Linked DNA regions of Xenopus tropicalis. The protein of the gene in region 2 purifies or fractionates together with the protein of the main gene of each other region. This does not show direct contact. Links are inferred from orthologs where the notes say so. Each region holds a gene or a part of one and is shown on either strand. Other genes may lie near its edges.

Region 1 (2,608 bases), on a different chromosome or scaffold from region 2:
CAATGGATTGCTGAGAGTACACAAAGTGACTGAGAAGCGTTGGTATGGCAGTACTGCTACCATAATAAGAACACTACATTTCTAAAAAAAAACAAAAAAAAAACACCTTTATACAAAATGTTATATTGGGTTTAGGACGTGGTCTCTAGTCTCTGGGATTGGCTGGTGAATTCCAAACGATTTGCGTGCTATGTACATGAGCCCCGTCGGCTGCAGCGCTTCCCAAGCATCCTTGATCCGTGTAGGCCAAACCAATGTCTGAAAAAGGCAGCTATAGCAGGAAAAGACTGGTGTGGTTGATTCATAAGGCTCTTTCAAATATATCAGACGCAATGAAGCAGCAATGGGTGGAGAATACTAAAAACATCAAAAAATAATTGTTTGTTTTTTTTTTAAAAAAGTAGTTTTTGCTCGCCGCCTGATATTTTTTCTGTATATATCATAAACTCAGTTTCACCTCCAGACATGAACAATCCTTCGGGTATTTAGAAATCAGTTTTGCAGATGCTTCTATAACCACGTGAGGAAACTTTCCTTATCTAGTTTGGTTGCTGCCAGAACGGATTCCATATCGTTGAGGATGTCGGAACTGAGAGCTTCTTGAAGGCTCGGCATAAGTTCTTCCCCTTCCACATTCATGGCTTCTCCCTCTAGCGTGCCAAGGTCCACATTTGTGCCAGGAAGGGTTTCCAAATAGTCTGGGAACCGGTTCTGTTGGGTAGGTATTGTACTTTGGGTAATAGCTTCACCTAGAAACAGAATGCAACAGTAACCTGTCAGTTCCGAGTTCTATTTAAAATCTTTAAAAGGAGCATTATGCTGCTAAAATGTACCTTTCCTCAATACAGTTATGGTTTTATGAACATTTAATTAGGGCTATGCAGTTCTTTGTACTAAATATATCCAGTTTATACTTAGCACTTATTTTTTTGTATTGTTATACTCTTATTTCAATGTCTCCTCAGGACCGGCCAGACCGGGGGTGAGCGAGTGTAGGACCGGCCAGGCCGGGGGTGAGCGAGTGTAGGACCGGCCACACCGGGGGTGAGCGAGTGTAGGACCGGCCACACCGGGGGTGAGCGAGTGTAGGACCGGCCACACCGGGGGTGAGCGAGTGTAGGACCGGCCACACCGGGGGTGAGCGAGTGTAGGACGGCCACACCGGGGTGAGCGAGTGTAGGACCGGCCACACCGGGGGTGAGCGAGTGTAGGACCGGCCACACCGGGGGTGAGCGAGTGTAGGACCGGCCACACCGGGGGTGAGCGAGTGTAGGACCGGCCACACCGGGGGTGAGCGAGTGTAGGACCGGCCACACCGGGGGTGAGCGAGTGTAGGACCGGCCACACCGGGGGTGAGCGAGTGTAGGACCGGCCACACCGGGGGTGAGCGAGTGTAGGACCGGCCACACCGGGGGTGAGCGAGTGTAGGACCGGCCACACCGGGGGTGAGCGAGTGTAGGACCGGCCACACCGGGGGTGAGCGAGTGTAGGACCGGCCACACCGGGGGTGAGCGAGTGTAGGACCGGCCACACCGGGGGTGACAGTGACGTAGTTGGTCAGCTTGAATATATTGCAATATATGGGCAAACAATCCCTGTTTTGCTTAAAGGGGTGGGGGGGGGCATATCTTAGTAGATTGGGGGTATTCCGTGGGTACCTGACAGAGGTTGGGATTCAGTCAAAGAAGACTGACTATGCAGGTGGGGTGTGGGTACCCTGCAGGGGAAGTTAGGAGAGATGTGGGCTGTTTTGTAGAATTTCAGTGATCTGCCCACATGTGGCATCACTTCTAGGGTCATGTGGTGCATTCTACGATGGCAGCTTGGACATTATTATTTGGATCCGACAGCCTGGCAAAGATGGTGATACGGGTCTACTGAACTAGACCTTCTCAAGGACAGTGCCCTTTAATCAAACAACTTATACATGAGGTTCAAACCCTACAGATTGTAACTGTGTGCCCCTAATGGCGAGACAAACTGACCTGTGTCCATTTCATCAACACTGTTGAGGAAATCGTCGGGAGTCCTGGGTACACTGTAACTGCTCATGCTCAACCCGCTGTCAGTGCTTTCGTCTCTGGAGTGATATGTTCCACTGATGAGAAAGAAATATGGTTAAATAAAGCTCAGAAAGTATATACTACCAAGCAAGAAGACCTTCCAAAACAGTTTATATTTACTGTGGGTTGTCTTTAATGTAGATTATCCTCTGCATACCTGCCAGTGTGTAACTGTGTGATTACTGTGGATGTTGTGCTACTAATTGCTGGGGCTCATTTATCAACACCTGAGGTGTTACTTATGGCAACAAATTACATTTCCGCTTTCAATGTCCTTCCTTCAGCTAGTTAAAAAAAAAAAAAAAGCATCTCATTGCCGATTGGTTGCTATATACTGCTCAGTGTTGGTAAATGAGCCCCAGTGTGTCTCATACAGCCTGTTACTAGGAAGCAAGTTCATGGCGGGCGGGAGCAGCTAAATATTACAAGGGGTCACTAGAGGGAGATAAGAATTGGCCCAAACCTGTTGAGGAATGGATCGGAGCTGTTCATTGTCATTGTTCTCATCTCCTGGGAAATCCCTGTTGAACACACTGGGTTCTGAG
Region 2 (3,520 bases):
GGGTAAGTATGTAAACATAGAGGGTCCAGCAGTCAGGAACCATGGCCTGACTCCTTAGCCTTCAGCCAGATACTGAAGCGTATGGGCCTATATGCTCCTATATGAAGCCCTCATACCTGCACAGCCAAGCTGCCCAGAAGAGCCAAAATGTACCATACAGACAGAGGAAAGCGCCCCTAGTGGTTAGACATTTAGAAGCTCATATACCTCCCACACAATGCACTTTGCAACTTTTCTCTTAAAGGGCGACTAAAACCTCAATATCAAAACCATAAACAATATGATACAGACTGCATCTTTTATTTAGGGTCAAGTAACATCAGTGAACAAATTATACATATCATATCCTTTATTATCCTAAAGCTGTCTAAAGAAGTATCAGTGGCATTCATTCCCTGTTTACACTCACTCTAGCAATGCCATTGTACTTCAAATCTTTTATCCAGTATGCAGATGTGCAGATGTGGGCCCTACAGAAATTATATATACACACACACACACATACATAAATAATATACACAATATTACAAATCCAAGGTAACACTTACATATATATATTATATAAAATAAAATATATATTATAGAGACAAAGCTGTACTTAAGAGGGGCTTATAATGGACTGAAATGGAGAAAAACAGGAAACGAATTAAAAAATGAATGTGGACAACGGAAGAATGGAGGGAGCACCTTACTCAATAGCAGTACCATAAGATTTTAAGAAAGGTGACATGGACCGTAGTAGAGTTGCTTGGCTCCCCCACGAAAAACCCTTTGGTGGGACCCACACCAGCAGGCACGAAACCCCTTACCCCTCTTCTGCTGTGGCCTACATGTAGCAAATAGTAAGCATGCAGGGAGTTTGCTAGTGTTGCCTTCCTTTAAATGAAGGTAAGAAGGTTGTATCCAGCTTTATTGGCAAGAGATTGGTAAACTAAAAACAATGAATGAAAGGCATCACTGTGCCTAGTAAACAGGCAATGCTTAAAGCCGCAATATAAACGGCAGGGCAGGAATATGGAACATTATAAACTGGTCAGCTATCTGAATAATCTTTCCCTACACAAACTAACAGACTTGAAATGTGACAAATGAAAGGGGAATTCTGGGCAAGTTATTTTGGTGGGAGGAATGTGATTACTCAGCAAGAATACAACGAGAGAAGCGTTATGAAAATACTCCCTGTGTTGGGGGGGGACAGGGCCCTATCACCACTGCTTACGCACGCGGCTGGAACGAAGCCCTGCAGGTCAGCAACAAACGGAACGGAGGAGGGAGCACAAGTCTGCCGGTTACCAGTCCATCTTTAATTTCAACAAAGCTTACAGCGTCTTATCGAAATATATACTTAGATGGGTATGTTGTAAAGCCCTCCACTGATAAGGGGTCTGCATTTTATGGGGGGCTTTACTGAAATTGCATAGTGAATACTGCTTGCAGTACCACACCCTACCAGCAGGCTCAGTCAGCTAGGCACCTTTATAATTGAGGTTCTCAGTGCCAGATTTTCACAGTTTCATCTACTTTTGTCCACCTGTGGCAGCTACCAAGTTGCACAAAAGAATTAGTGCAATTTCTTTTCTGGCAGTTACTGGTTGGAAATTTGGCAGTCTGTTTTTTTTGTTTATCAACCTCACCTACTATGTGGTTTCTATATTTCAATAACTAATAAATTCCATATCTACCAGCATATTGTTCCTGTTTTTATGCACTTATATATCATGGACATCCCCTGTAATGAAGGGCTTTTAAGATTCCCAGCTAGCCGGATCCAAAGTCTGAGCTATAATTTAGATTTATGGGGACGGGCGTAGGTAGGTAAATAAAGCATTAGAGAGATGATTATATGGCGCTGTGCGGCGGCAGGGTGGGGGATGTACAGGTGGGCTTACCATGATAACTCCTGAAGTGTCACTAGTGATCGCAAGCAGGTTGCTTGGAGGACATTATCAGCTCGTGGCAAATGCCTAGGGCATTTTTCCACATAAAGTAAGCGGCTGTTAGTATTATAGAGAGATGGCAGGATATGACAGTATTGCTTCAGTGCCTTAAGCAGTTAGCCATAAATCCCGCCTTCCTATTAACCCTATTTATTTGATTTAGTGCACCTACAAGTACTCTCTAAATCACTGCTGCTCTCCGGAGCTGAACTAATTTGTTTAGGCAAAGAACAGTGCCCTGGCAATAGGCTAGTAACAGCACCTGACATATTTGTGAAAAGGGACCTTACACCCCGTTTAGCAAAAAAAAAAAGAAGTTTTTGGGCAGGAGTTAAGGCAGGGATGTAAAAGACACTGGGGCTCATTTACCAACATTTCCCCAAGCACCCAATCAGCAATTAGCTTTCATCTGTCTACTGCAGTAATAATAATAATAAAAGCTAATAACTGATTTATTGCTATGGCTTACTGTATCAGGGTATATTTTCCCAAAGCTAGCAAATGAACCCCCACAGTTGCAGCTTCCTCAGTTATATGCTAGAACTGCTGCTGCTATAATCAGGTTGGAACATTCAAGCTGCTCACATGGCCCATGGGCTTACTGGTTGGGCATAGGTTCTGTGATTGGCAGCTTTATTTATTTATTTTTACAGCAGAAAGGAACAATGGAAATAAAGGACAAATATTACTGCACCCCAAATGATGTGTGTAAATTTCCAGCTGTTACCTAAACTTCATCTTCTGACCTTTAATGGGAAAAGGATGCAAGTCTTTTCTTGCATATAAGTATGTATAAGTAATACATATAGAGAATGTTAATACATACCCAGTACTTTCACAGCCCTGCTAGGACTTTCCAACACTAGACTTTCATCAGTATCAAATATAGGGTTGTCAATTCCAGTTTTGGGGAAAATCTGTGCCAACTTTTTAAGCCTCATAGATGAATTAACATCCAGATCCTGTTTCTTCCCTTCTTCCTCCCGCCTACGCCTCATATCCTCCTGCTGCTGCCGGATCCGTTCCAGCTGGGCACTCCGCCGGATGGGCATCGCCCGCGTACCCAAGTCCCCAGGACAATCGACGGCCATTTCCCTATGTTTGGGTGGCTCCTCTTGAGAAGCAAGATCCGAGCTCTGTTTGTCACTGTCAGAGTCTTCTGTTACATGTCCGTTCACATGAGAAGTGGTCATGACTGCCGGCACCACCCAGTCCAGGTGCTTATAGGTGAGTATATGTCCTGTAGTCTGTACAGTATCCCATTGTAGCTCACTGTGGTTTCATGAGCTGCACATAAAAGCTGGCATTGATGTTAATGCTGCCCTGTTTGAAAAAGAAAGAAAAATGATTAAGCAAAAGTTAAAAAACTTAATTCCAGGCCAAACCTGCCCACCCCACAATTATACATCAATGCAGCCAATTAAGCTACAAATTATTATAAAGCGCCAGCATATTCCGCAGCGCTGTAAAATTAAGTGGGCTTCATACTTTGGACATACAGAGTGACATATATAGCCCTGCCCAAAAGAGCTTACAATCTACAAGGAGAAAGGGTTGAGACACAAGGTGTGGGAATGGGCATG
Region 3 (3,520 bases), on a different chromosome or scaffold from region 2:
ATTCAACCTTTTCTTCAGGAAACAGTGAAAGCATTTAGCACATGATACCCCCCCCCTCTCTGGAGATGTAACCCCGTGGGTGCCAGAGAGGTCTAGAATGTCTGTCCCATGGGGATAAAGATATTTTAACCTATTTTGGAAAACGTGTTTAAAAATATGTGAGAAATGTATAGTTTAAAAAAAAAATCTGCAAATAGCAATAGATTTTAATTTTAACCTGCCAACTACGAAAATTGCATCCAAGCCTTTATTGGCTGCATAAAAGCAAACTGCCATAGAAAGCTATTTAAAGGTGAAGGCAAACATGCATCACAACAAACTACTATTCTGTAGATTACTCTTCTAGGGAAGGCTTGCTTATCTGAATAATGTTTATCCATAAAAGTAGGAGCTACCATATTGTTTCTCAACAGAACAACCACTTTAATTTCACCCATAGACTACAATGTAACTGGGCTCCAGTGGATAAATGATCAATAAATATGATGATAAAAGCTTAGCTTTTACAAGCAATAACTGTTGAATAGTGTTATATTGTTTTTGCTCCCATTAAGACACAATGGTCATGTAGAAGTATATGCGTGTACTATTAACAGGAAATGGCTGGGTTTGCTACAGTGTGGTGGCATGGTCCATAAGCACTTAAAAGATACTTACACTGTGCAATGAGTTTCGACACGACTCCCTGAGAGTCCTCCCTTTGCTCCACACTCTTAGCAGCCAGCTGTTTGTTAGCAGAGTCCAGTCGTTCTAGACAAAGAACAATAAAGCAGTGAGTTTACAAGACAAGCAAGACACCCATGATATTGCCTCATTTAGGGGACATGTATTTAATCCAGTGAACAAACACATTTAACGAGCTGCTCCTTGTATCGCCAGCAACTCTTGAACTATGGCTTCCTTGAAAGGCAGTAATACTGGGTGTTGGAGTACAATTTTGCTTATTTTTCAATGTCCCCAAAGGTGATATAATTATACAGGGCTACTTAAGAAATTATAATATCTAGACTAGAGACTAAACTTATGGAAGGCCAGTCTATGACATAAAATAGTGATAGGCCACCTGCGGCCCTCCATATATTATGGTCACACCCTTAAACATCATTTTAAAAATGAAGTATAACTATGTGGCCTAATAGACAATGTCAGTGGAGGTTATGAGATCTATCCCCCTTGCAGGCCTATTGTCTATTTTCCCTTTGTACAAGGATTTTAAAGGCTCTAAACACACAGAGTCCATTCAATCAAGCCTAATAGCTATTGTTTGGTTCCTAACGATGATTGATGGCTCACACCCTACAGGCCAACGTCTAACATTCCTCGTGTGCCATAGCTCTAACCTCTTAGATCTCGGTTGAAGTCCTGCATGCGCCTGATCTCTCCTTCCATTCTGGTCCGCATGGCATTCTCAAGGGCCTCCCGTTTGGAGGATGCCTTCATGAGACTCTCGTAGGCTTCAGAAATTCGTTGGATTTCAGTTTCCAACTGCAAAGAAACAAGTAGACTGTCAGGCACATTTGTCTCCACTCCTTGTGTTCCACAAGAAAGCAAGAACATTCTAAAGTATGTGACAAATCTGGTTATTCTTCACGCTACTGTTACTTTGTAGGCCTGGACAAGACAGACCAGTAACTGTAAAGCACAATGTTATGGAGATTTAGTTGTCCATTTCACCAGTATATTGGAACAACCATTTCAAAAAATGAACAGGGACAGGTTTAATGTCTGAGCCTTACTATTGTTTTAAGACAAATATACTAATAAAGGCATTGTGACAGCAGCTAAAACTTTTTTGGACTCATATTTAAAGCATTGCTTATTTTAGTGGAGTTTGAACCACCTGCCTCTGGATTACACATTTGTTTAGAGGCTGGGTGCCCCCCCTTCTCCTTACAGCTGAGGCCTTCCTAACACAAGCACCTTTTCATCCCTACACAATGGCTCATTTATGCCGCATCAGGTCAACTCAAGCAGAACAGAAGACTTAAGCAACTGTCAGCGGCCCTCAGCTCTAAGTGTGCCTCTAACAAATGGCTCATGGCTGCCCCATTGTGCAAGGATCCTTTGCAGCTGTTAAAGGGGAGATGGCAAAGAAGGAATCTCGCTGGGCTCAAGAAAGTGAAAGGGTTGGGGATGACAAAAACGAAACCAATGGGCCAGACGTCCCACCCTGCAAGGCCAGCTGGGAATCATTTCACAATGCTCTGCTTGTTGATGGGCAACGTTTGGAATTATAATGAGTACTGCAATGTTAACGGGCTGGCGAAGAATTGTGTAAGAAGAACAGCTGCTTGGGAGAAACCCTCAATGCTTTGGTTGTGGAAGTCCAACAAATGGCAGACAGAAATATCAGCCCCTACCAAATGATTGTATTTCTTTTTACATTGTCTTCAGAGAAAACATACCCTACTAGTAATGACCTTTTTCATTCATTTTGCCTTAAATCAACACTAAAGATTAAGGGTGAAGCTTTTTTGTCTACACAGAATATTCCTATTTGTTCTTAATAGGGACATAACCTTTATGGCTACAATCATGAAAATGGAGCGTTGCTTAGTTTAAAATGATTTTTACCTTCTGAATCTTAACAGCTTTCTCACTGTAGCTCTCCAGCTCCCTACGTAACTTCTCGTTTTCTCTCAGAAGGGCATCCATTCCAGCCATATGGGTTCCGGCTGCATTGAACGCTGCGATTGGACCGTAGTTCAGATTAGGATCTTGAATTTGTCTGAAACAGATAAAAAGAAATAAATAGAATGCACACAGCTGTACTGGCAAAACAATATGTAGAGCAAAACATCTGCATAGATGATTTTCATGATGCTGTTAAGTATTTCTTGGTCATTCTGCCAAGTCTCTTGATACTGGTCTAATGATTGCTATGTGTGGTATAGTGTGAGGTTACAGTACCTATGATAAATAGTGCTGGGCTTGAGGTACTGGAGAGCCATTTCTGGCGTTATATCAGAAAGTTATTTCAAGTTTAAATTGAACAGGCCACTTTACATTAAGTTGAATAAACAGTCCTTTTACCACAATGACCCATTTATTATACAAAACCATTTTTAATATATGTATATTTTACAGCTGTTATCTTAGGCTAACATTAAATTAATTTTTATGCCAATTACTACACAATTTCTGCTACTTAAACCAGACACTCCGGCTTGGCCCATAACACTGTGGTCAGGTAAATAAAACATGCCTCAGGTAACAAACAGTCCCTGCCTTATAAGGGCTCCAAATACATTCTTAAAAGTCATTCCAGACCAGTTCTACATACAAATGCCTGGAAGGAAAAGTAAGAGCCACACAGATTTCATTTGTTAGTCTGGAATGAGAATAATAGCTCTTCCTTTCTCCCTCTCTGTTTGAAACGCTAGGAATGTAATATGCCCCCCCCCCCCCCCCACAATGAAGTGGCATTTCCTTTGGTGACCCTATACACACACAGATACCAGAGTTAATTCAAGATCCAAAAGGGGAAAAATTCTTATATTGTGAGAGTGAGCATGTCCCT
Region 4 (3,520 bases), on a different chromosome or scaffold from region 2:
TCCAGGCACACAGTTGGTTTAGCAGGGTTGAATGGCTGTAGCGTGCACATGTGCCAACTGGCACTGGAGGGAATACCTAGCTTCCAAATTGGTCCTGCCTTGTTTCATTGAATATCTTGAACGTTTAAATAGACTGGAGAAAAGAAAGTTGCTTGAGACAATTTACATGTTCTACATAAACTCAGCAGCTTTTACTTGCCAAGTTTCTTCATGTGATTTTTTTCTTTGAACTATGGTTAAAAACAAAAGATAGTCTTGTGTAGATTCAAGTTTTTTCTAGCACTTTTTTTCAAATTGAAAAAAAAAATGCAAGCTCAAAATTTTGATAAACCTGCTCCTTGATGTGCGCCTACTTATACTCAACTTTTTCTTCTGTATATCATAAAACCCTTCATTGTAACATATAATTTTGCAATAACGAGGCATGGAGTTGTATGCTGTACTTCAGCATATCTGGCAAGGCAGATTGACATAACTGTTAATTCAATTCATTAGAGATAACCAGACTGAAGTTACACTCTGCTAAGCTCACCAATAAGTTTCGGTACAAACACTCACTGGTGCAGCCTTCTCCCTAAAGACAATTCAGCAAATAAGAAAAGGTAAATCTGCAGAGATAAAAAGACTGTGCAAATATTTTCTAATGTTACACACTACATTAACTTAAAGTTGATTACAATAGTAAAATAGTAAAAATAATAGTAAAATAATTTTGTCAACAATAATATTTCCAAAAAAATGCATCTTCTTTTGAATGTGGGGAACCTCATGGCCTTACCTCTGCCATCTGTTGAAGTTTTCTGTTAAACTCATCTTCTGAGTAAGGGCTAACAAGAGGTAATTGAGATGAAACAAAGTTGTCAAAGGACAAAGAGTTGTTCTTGTTCCCAAAGTGTGCGGAAGAGTCAGCTTCAAATACCAATAAACCTTTCTTTGTGAAATCAAATTCTGCAGAGCGGTCAGCTGGCATTCGGTTGAGCTGAGGAAATAAAATTGATCCAAGTTGCCTAAGTTAATTAAAAAACGTTTTGTTCAACTTACCAAAATAGATGGTAACAACAGAGCACTTCTAGCAGTAATATCCAGCATTATACATTTAAACACGGTTACACAAATTGCAATGTGTGTTAGATATATGAAAAAAATATATATTCTTTCCTGGGAAACTGGGCATAAAAGGGAATACATTAAAGCCAGTGCCTAGATCTTAAGGTGGAACTTTTATGCTGTTTGTAATATACAAAATAAATGGGCTGATAAACTAGATTACCTGAAATTGTATTACATTTATTGGTCTTTTACCAAGAACTGTCCAATGAAGTAAGCCTCCAAGGATGATATTCATGCCTTGTCAGCCAGTAGCCACAATGAAAAAGAACATCCCCACTCAGTGCTGGGGAACTGCACAGAACTGGTTCTTATGTACATTAGATGGATCCACCATATTGGTCTCATAGAGGGCTTATCATTGTGAGAAAAAAGTTCCAGCTCCAGTTGGTTATAAAATAATAATTTGATATCAAACTTTTTACTTGTGTATATGCTCTGAACTGTTACTGGTATGAAAATTTTAACTGAAAAAACACAAGAGTTGGAAAGCCTCAGCACAAACGTCAGCTCATAAAATTACCAGCTTTTTGGAACCCCTATTAACTGCTCACTCACTGTCACCTGATTCAAGGTTCACAAGGGCAGGATCAGCCTTGTCAGATTCACGTTTAAAAGTGCCAGCAAGCACAGTCTATAATGGGGTCCTGTAATTACCATTTGAACTATGACGGGCAGTCAGATTAGAACTGTCCTGTGCCAGCGGATGCTGTGCTCTGCAATACTGGATTTTTTAATGAGATGCATGGTGCAGAGCTAAAACCTGAATAAGTGTTCTCTACGGACACTATGGGGGGAATTCACAAAAGTGGAGTTAGCCCTTTTTTGGAGTAAAAGTGGTGGAAAAACTGGTGGAAAACACTTTCTCCAGATTCACAGACAGAAATCCGCCTAAATTCCGACTCAACCGCCACTTTTCCGTTTTTGGTGAAAGAAAGACAGTTTACAGACACGTTTGTGAATTTGTCGTTTAAACGACATTTATACAACGTTTTAACGACATTTTTTCCTGACATTTTTCCCAGTCATTTTCAAAATGGAGTGAAGCTCAGTATAACTCTGTTAGATCAATTCTAATCTCTTCTGTTTTGTTTCCCCCAGTCTCCATTTCACACCTAAGGTAGGGGGTAATTAACATATTAATGGGGATTAGCAGACTATTGTTAGGGGGCAAGTCTCTGTATAACCCTAGAAAAAAATAGGTGCTAAAAGCCTCATTAACATTTTATAAACAAGTAAAACACTGATTAAAAAAAAGTTCAATTTATATCTTATATATAAAAAGTTTTTACCTCACATTTGCATGATTATGCTAGTTTTTGCTTAATCAATGAGGCAATAATAACATTGAGTGAATATATTGTAAACATTTTTATTTAAAGGAAAAGTAAAGCCTCCCAGGCAAATTTTTAGTTTTAGCAGCAGTGCCCCCTCTGTAATAACTTCACTGACATTTGCCCCAACTTATCTGTGCCCCCATAGCATATCCAGAACTACAGAGCTGCCTGACAGCATTAGTCCCCACCTGTTCCCAACTGCCATATTGGCGATTAGCAAACAGCACATACACACTGGCACCCAAACTGGAATATTGGGGTACAGGGTTGGACTGGCCCCAACAGGGCACTGGATAAAAACCCGGTGGATCCTAGTCCTGTTGGACCTCTTTTTACTGGGCATGTTGGTATGTGGGCCGGATTGCTGCTGACTAGTAATGAGTAAATATAGAAAACATTAGAAAGCCCAGCTTGTCCTGAACAAAATGTTGTATAGTTTCCCTGGGCAAACTAAAATTACCCCTCAGGAAATGCCCCCAAAGTGAAATGATAAATGGCAAATGAAATGCCAAATCCTGTTGGTAAATTCCTTACCCCAAGGCTCCTGTAGCTGTGGGACTGGGTTTGATGGCACCGACAGATTTACTAAGAGCTAAAGGCAAATTCATAAAAAATTGTCGGGAAAATGACAAAATATGAAAACAAATTCACAAAAGTGGAGATAGAGGTTTGTGAATTAGGTGGAAAATCCGACAAATCTATCTCCACTTTTATTTTGTCAGAATATCACCACTTTTGTGAATTCCCCCCTAAGTGGTGCAAGGGCTCTTGTACTTCTGCCCTGGATTATGGTAAATTACCTCTCTAGAAAGATATAAGTAGAAACTAGTTGTCAATTGTAATTTCCCTATGCACAGTTGTTAGTCAGCACTGGATACCCTGCTAACACAGATACAATCTACATTTTCTTCCACTTTAAGTGCATTTCCAGCCAGCAGTTTGTAACTGTATTTTACAGTATAATTATAAGTATACTAAAACTTTTAAATATTACACATCGAGAACAGGTATAGAATCTATTTTTCTAATCTAGTTTTCCTCAAGTTGGAATGACATATTGTAAGTCTACTTAAACT
Region 5 (4,122 bases), on a different chromosome or scaffold from region 2:
TATCTATCATATCCATTTATCATCTATTCATCTATCTCTCTATCTATCTCTCTATCTATCTATCTCTCTATCTATCATATCCATCATCTATCTATCATATCCATTTATCATCTATTCATCTATCTATCTATCTCTCTATCCATCTATCTATCATATCCATCCATCTATCATATCCATCTATCTATCATATCCATCTATCTATCATATCCATCTATCATCTATTCATCTATCTATCTCTCTATCAATCTATCCATCTCTCTCTATATATATTTCTCTCCCTGTATCTCTCTCTCTCTATTTACCTCTCTATATCTCTCTCTATATATATATCTCTCTGTCTATCTCTCTATCTACACACAGACACAAAAACATTTTTTTTACTTTTTAACTAAACATCTATAGGCCAAAACTGCGTGAACTCATCCGGAAAAACACTGTACGCAATGCAGAAAAACATAACATTGCCAAAATACTTGCCTATAGCATCAGGGAAACTGGTTTTTCTACCCCCCCCCCCCCCCCCCCCTACGTACATGTGCTCCTTGGGATAATGCAGCACAGTTTTCCTATTGGCACAAAGCATGTAAGGTTTGGTTGTGGGGGGGTTTATTCAATCTACATTATATATGGCTCTATAACATTTGAGGTGGGTGGGCCCTCTGTACTAGAGTCAATGTATAGATGTATAACTATATAAAGTGTTAGAACAAAAAAGGGGAATAGCTGCACCTTCCACAATTAGGTATAAAGCTCCACCAAATGTTAATGATAATGTATAAACAAGATAGATTGTACAGCACAGCCTAACAATTACACACAGGGAGGACAAGTGTTATAAATATATACCTATAAATAAGTATAACTACACAGAGATGCCATGTGGTATAAGATACAGTAGGATCCCTGCCCCATAGAGCTTCCATGACCATAGAAGACCATACAAACTACACACAGATATTGTCCTACTGAAAACCAGTACCAGGACCCCAGCATGGCAAGACAGCAATTCTAAAAGCACTAACAGATATCAGTTATCAATCATGAAGACTGAGATTTGGACGCTACTGAGAACAATTATTGGATATTATTATGAAGAGAATGAGAAATTACTCCCTGTGGAATGTCCTTTCTGCTAAACCATTTAGTTAATTTTACCAGCAAGTCTGTTTTTTTTTCTTTTATAAATATATATATATATATATATATATATATATACACATGTGGATGTGTGTGTTTGTGGCCTCCCAGCCCTGCCCTAAAGCCAGTACAGTCCCAGCTTTGAGGCAGGATTCATGCTCCTGAGTCTCCTGTGATCCCCAGTATCAGCGCCAGCACCTGTATTATAGGAATACCATGGGGTCAGCAGCTTATGGGCCTGTGTATGGGGCAACTAGGGCTAGGGCTGCCACCTGGACAGGAATTTAAAGGCCTAGCCGGCAAACTACCACCTAGAGCCGATGTTACAAATTTACAGGCAACGTAACTGCGGGACAACTTGTAAACCTCCACTTTCTTAAAGTTTTCTCTGAGATACTTATTTATTTGCACTCAGAACTGTTCTCTGTAAGCAGCTCTCCTCCCGCCTCTGATCCGCCTACACCACACCCCTGATCCGCCTACACCACACCCCTGATCTGCCCACATCCCACCCTTATCCGCCTATATTCCATCCCTGATCCGCCCACACCCCATCCCTGATCCGCTCACACCACACCCCTGATCCGCCCACATCCCACCCTGATCCGCCCACACCCCATCCCTGATCCGCCCACACCCCATCCCTGATCCGCCCACACCCCACCCCTGATCCGCCCACACCCCGCCCCTGATCCGCCCACACCCCGCCTCCATCACATCACCAGTTGCCTCCCTAGGGGCACAGGCCAGTAAGACTTAGGGGAAGAAGGTGGCACCTCTACGGGCAAATTGACCCCCTGTGATTTCACCTATCCGTCCCCTTTAGGCAAGTGCCAGTGTGGGGGCGATGGGTACAAAGCGCCAGTGTGGGGGCGATGGGTACAAAGCGCCAGTGTGGGGGCGATGGGTACAAAGCGCCAGTGTGGGGGCGATGGGTACAAAGCGCCAGTGTGGGGGCGATGGGTACAAAGCGCCAGTGTGGGGGCGATGGGTACAAAGCGCCAGTGTGGGGGCGATGGGTACAAAGCGCCAGTGTGGGGGCGATGGGTACAAAGCGCCAGTGTGGGGGCGATGGGTACAAAGTGCCAGGAGAGGGGGGGGGCAGGGTACATATTTAAGGAACAAAATGGGTTAATAAGACAGAGAGTAAATCTCAGTGACAGGGCAAATAGATTACTATTATTGTTGACATATTTATAAAGTACAAGTGAGCAGCCTGTACCAAACATACACACTCCTCCCAGTACTGGCACATACAGCCGGCAGGTAGGGCCCTGGGCCTCACAGCTAACACTCTAATGGCAGAAGGAGTGGGACTGTAAGGGAACCCCAGTCACTGGGGGGGGGGGGGGCGGATCAGTGCCAGGGGGATTATACAGGGGATTATACAGGGGGGGGGCAGATACTGACAGATACAATACACACACAGTGGCGGCGCTCACACTGCTCTGTATCCCCTCGGCACCCCCCCCCACTCTCTCAGCCTACCGACCCGCTGCTACTGCCCCTCACCTCTCTCCAAGCGAATGGGCTCTCCCACAGCAGCCATCTTCTTTCCTACACACAACGCTAGATAGTAAAACCCAATGGCTTGCAGCAGGTCGTGATGTCACCGTCACATGACCAAATGTGCGAAGCAGGAAGTGAGGTCATGTGAGGGCGTGTCTAGCCGCCAGCCCCACTCCTAATACTACTGCCTTGCCTACTGCCTGGGCTACCACCGGTGCTACTGCCGGGGTCCCTACTAGTGACACAGGGGAGCGGGAAAAGCGCTAGAACGGGGGCGGGGAGAGAGGGGTGGGGCCTGCTAGTGCAGGATTGGCGCTCAGTGGGAATAGGAGCTGATTAGTGACTGCTTCGTCGGACTGAGGGCTGCTGTGGGGGTGTGTGTTAGTGAGGCTGCCTGTAGGGCTTAATGCACCGGGGGGAAGAGCTGAAGGCTACAGGGGACTGTAAGGGAATTGTACTGGGGCAAAGGGAGAATTATGGGACTGCTAAGGGAATTGAACTGGGAAAGAAAGAAAATGAAAATGTAAAGGGAATTAAACAGGGAGAAATGGGGCTGCTAAGGGAATTGAATGGGGGGGGGGTGTGTAGGGAAAGGGTGAAGGTGAGCGCTGCAAAGGGGACTGTGCTGGGGGAGAGGGAGAAGGTGGCACTGCCAGGGAAATTGTACTGGGATAAAGGGAGACGGTGGGACTGCGAAGGGAATAGCACTGGGGGAATGGTAGGAGGTAAGGGCTGCAAGGGGAATAGCACTGGGAGCAAATGCAGGAGGTGAGGGTTGCAAGGGGAATAGCACTGGGAGCAAATGCAGGAGGTGAGGGCTGCAAGGGGAATAGCACTGGGGGCAAATGCAGGAGGTGAGGGCTGCAAGGGGAATAGCACTGGGGGCAAATGCAGGAGGTGAGGGCTGCAAGGGGAATAGCACTGGGGGCAAATGCAGGAGGTGAGGGCTGCAAGGGGAATAGCACTGGGGGAATGGTAGGAGGTAAGGGGTGCAAGGGGAATAGCACTGGGGAGAAATGCAGGAGGTGAGGGCTGCAAGGGGAATAGCACTGGGGGAATGGTAGGAGGTAAGGGCTGCAAGGGGAATAGCACTGGGAGCAAATGCAGGAGGTGAGGGCTGCAAGGGGAATAGCACTGGGGGAATGGTAGGAGGTAAGGGCTGCAAGGGGAATAGCACTGGGAGCAAATGCAGGAGGTGAGGGCTGCAAGGGGAATAGCACTGGGGGAATGGTAGGAGGTAAGGGCTGCAAGGGGAATAGCACTGGGGGCAAATGCAGGACGTGAGGGCTGCAAGGGGAGTAGCACTGGGGGAATGGTAGGAGGTAAGGGCTGCAAGGGGAATAGCACTGGGGGCAAATGCAGGACGTGAGGGCTGCAAGGGTAATAGCACTGGGGGCAAATGCAGGAGGTGAGGGCTGCAAGGGGAATAGCACTGGGGGGAATGGTAGGATGTAAGGACTGCAAGGGGAATAGCAC

What was found.
Region 1: the proteins of mpp5 (region 2) and yap1 purify together in Homo sapiens (affinity purification with mass spectrometry; 6 studies listed by BioGRID and IntAct, counting the BioPlex papers as one, with this or other methods). This does not show direct contact. The link is inferred for Xenopus tropicalis from reciprocal best matches to the Homo sapiens genes PALS1 and YAP1.
Region 3: the proteins of mpp5 (region 2) and amotl2 purify together in Homo sapiens (affinity purification with mass spectrometry; 3 studies listed by BioGRID and IntAct, counting the BioPlex papers as one, with this or other methods). This does not show direct contact. The link is inferred for Xenopus tropicalis from reciprocal best matches to the Homo sapiens genes PALS1 and AMOTL2.
Region 4: the proteins of mpp5 (region 2) and patj purify together in Homo sapiens (co-immunoprecipitation; 5 studies listed by BioGRID and IntAct, counting the BioPlex papers as one, with this or other methods). This does not show direct contact. The link is inferred for Xenopus tropicalis from reciprocal best matches to the Homo sapiens genes PALS1 and PATJ.
Region 5: the proteins of mpp5 (region 2) and lin7c purify together in Homo sapiens (affinity purification with mass spectrometry; 3 studies listed by BioGRID and IntAct, counting the BioPlex papers as one, with this or other methods). This does not show direct contact. The link is inferred for Xenopus tropicalis from reciprocal best matches to the Homo sapiens genes PALS1 and LIN7C.

What each region holds. Positions count from the first base shown.
Region 1 is NC_030678.2:162,264,135-162,266,742, forward strand, and holds the end of yap1 (transcriptional coactivator YAP1), read right to left. Parts: coding exon 2,527-2,608; intron 2,099-2,526; coding exon 1,986-2,098; intron 750-1,985; coding exon 511-749; downstream 1-510. UniProt on the Homo sapiens protein: Transcriptional regulator with dual roles as a coactivator and corepressor. Critical downstream regulatory target in the Hippo signaling pathway, crucial for organ size control and tumor suppression by restricting proliferation and promoting apoptosis.
Region 2 is NC_030684.2:119,268,256-119,271,775, forward strand, and holds part of mpp5 (MAGUK p55 subfamily member 5), read right to left. Parts: intron 3,261-3,520; 5' UTR 3,131-3,260; coding exon 2,764-3,130; intron 1-2,763. UniProt on the Homo sapiens protein: Plays a role in tight junction biogenesis and in the establishment of cell polarity in epithelial cells.
Region 3 is NC_030681.2:130,250,293-130,253,812, forward strand, and holds part of amotl2 (angiomotin-like protein 2), read right to left. Parts: intron 2,729-3,520; coding exon 2,575-2,728; intron 1,486-2,574; coding exon 1,341-1,485; intron 751-1,340; coding exon 658-750; intron 1-657. UniProt on the Homo sapiens protein: Regulates the translocation of phosphorylated SRC to peripheral cell-matrix adhesion sites. Required for proper architecture of actin filaments.
Region 4 is NC_030680.2:85,750,423-85,753,942, forward strand, and holds part of patj (inaD-like protein), read right to left. Parts: intron 980-3,520; coding exon 779-979; intron 1-778.
Region 5 is NC_030680.2:21,036,554-21,040,675, reverse strand, and holds the start of lin7c (protein lin-7 homolog C), read right to left. Parts: upstream 2,819-4,122; 5' UTR 2,687-2,818; coding exon 2,650-2,686; intron 1-2,649. UniProt on the Homo sapiens protein: Plays a role in establishing and maintaining the asymmetric distribution of channels and receptors at the plasma membrane of polarized cells.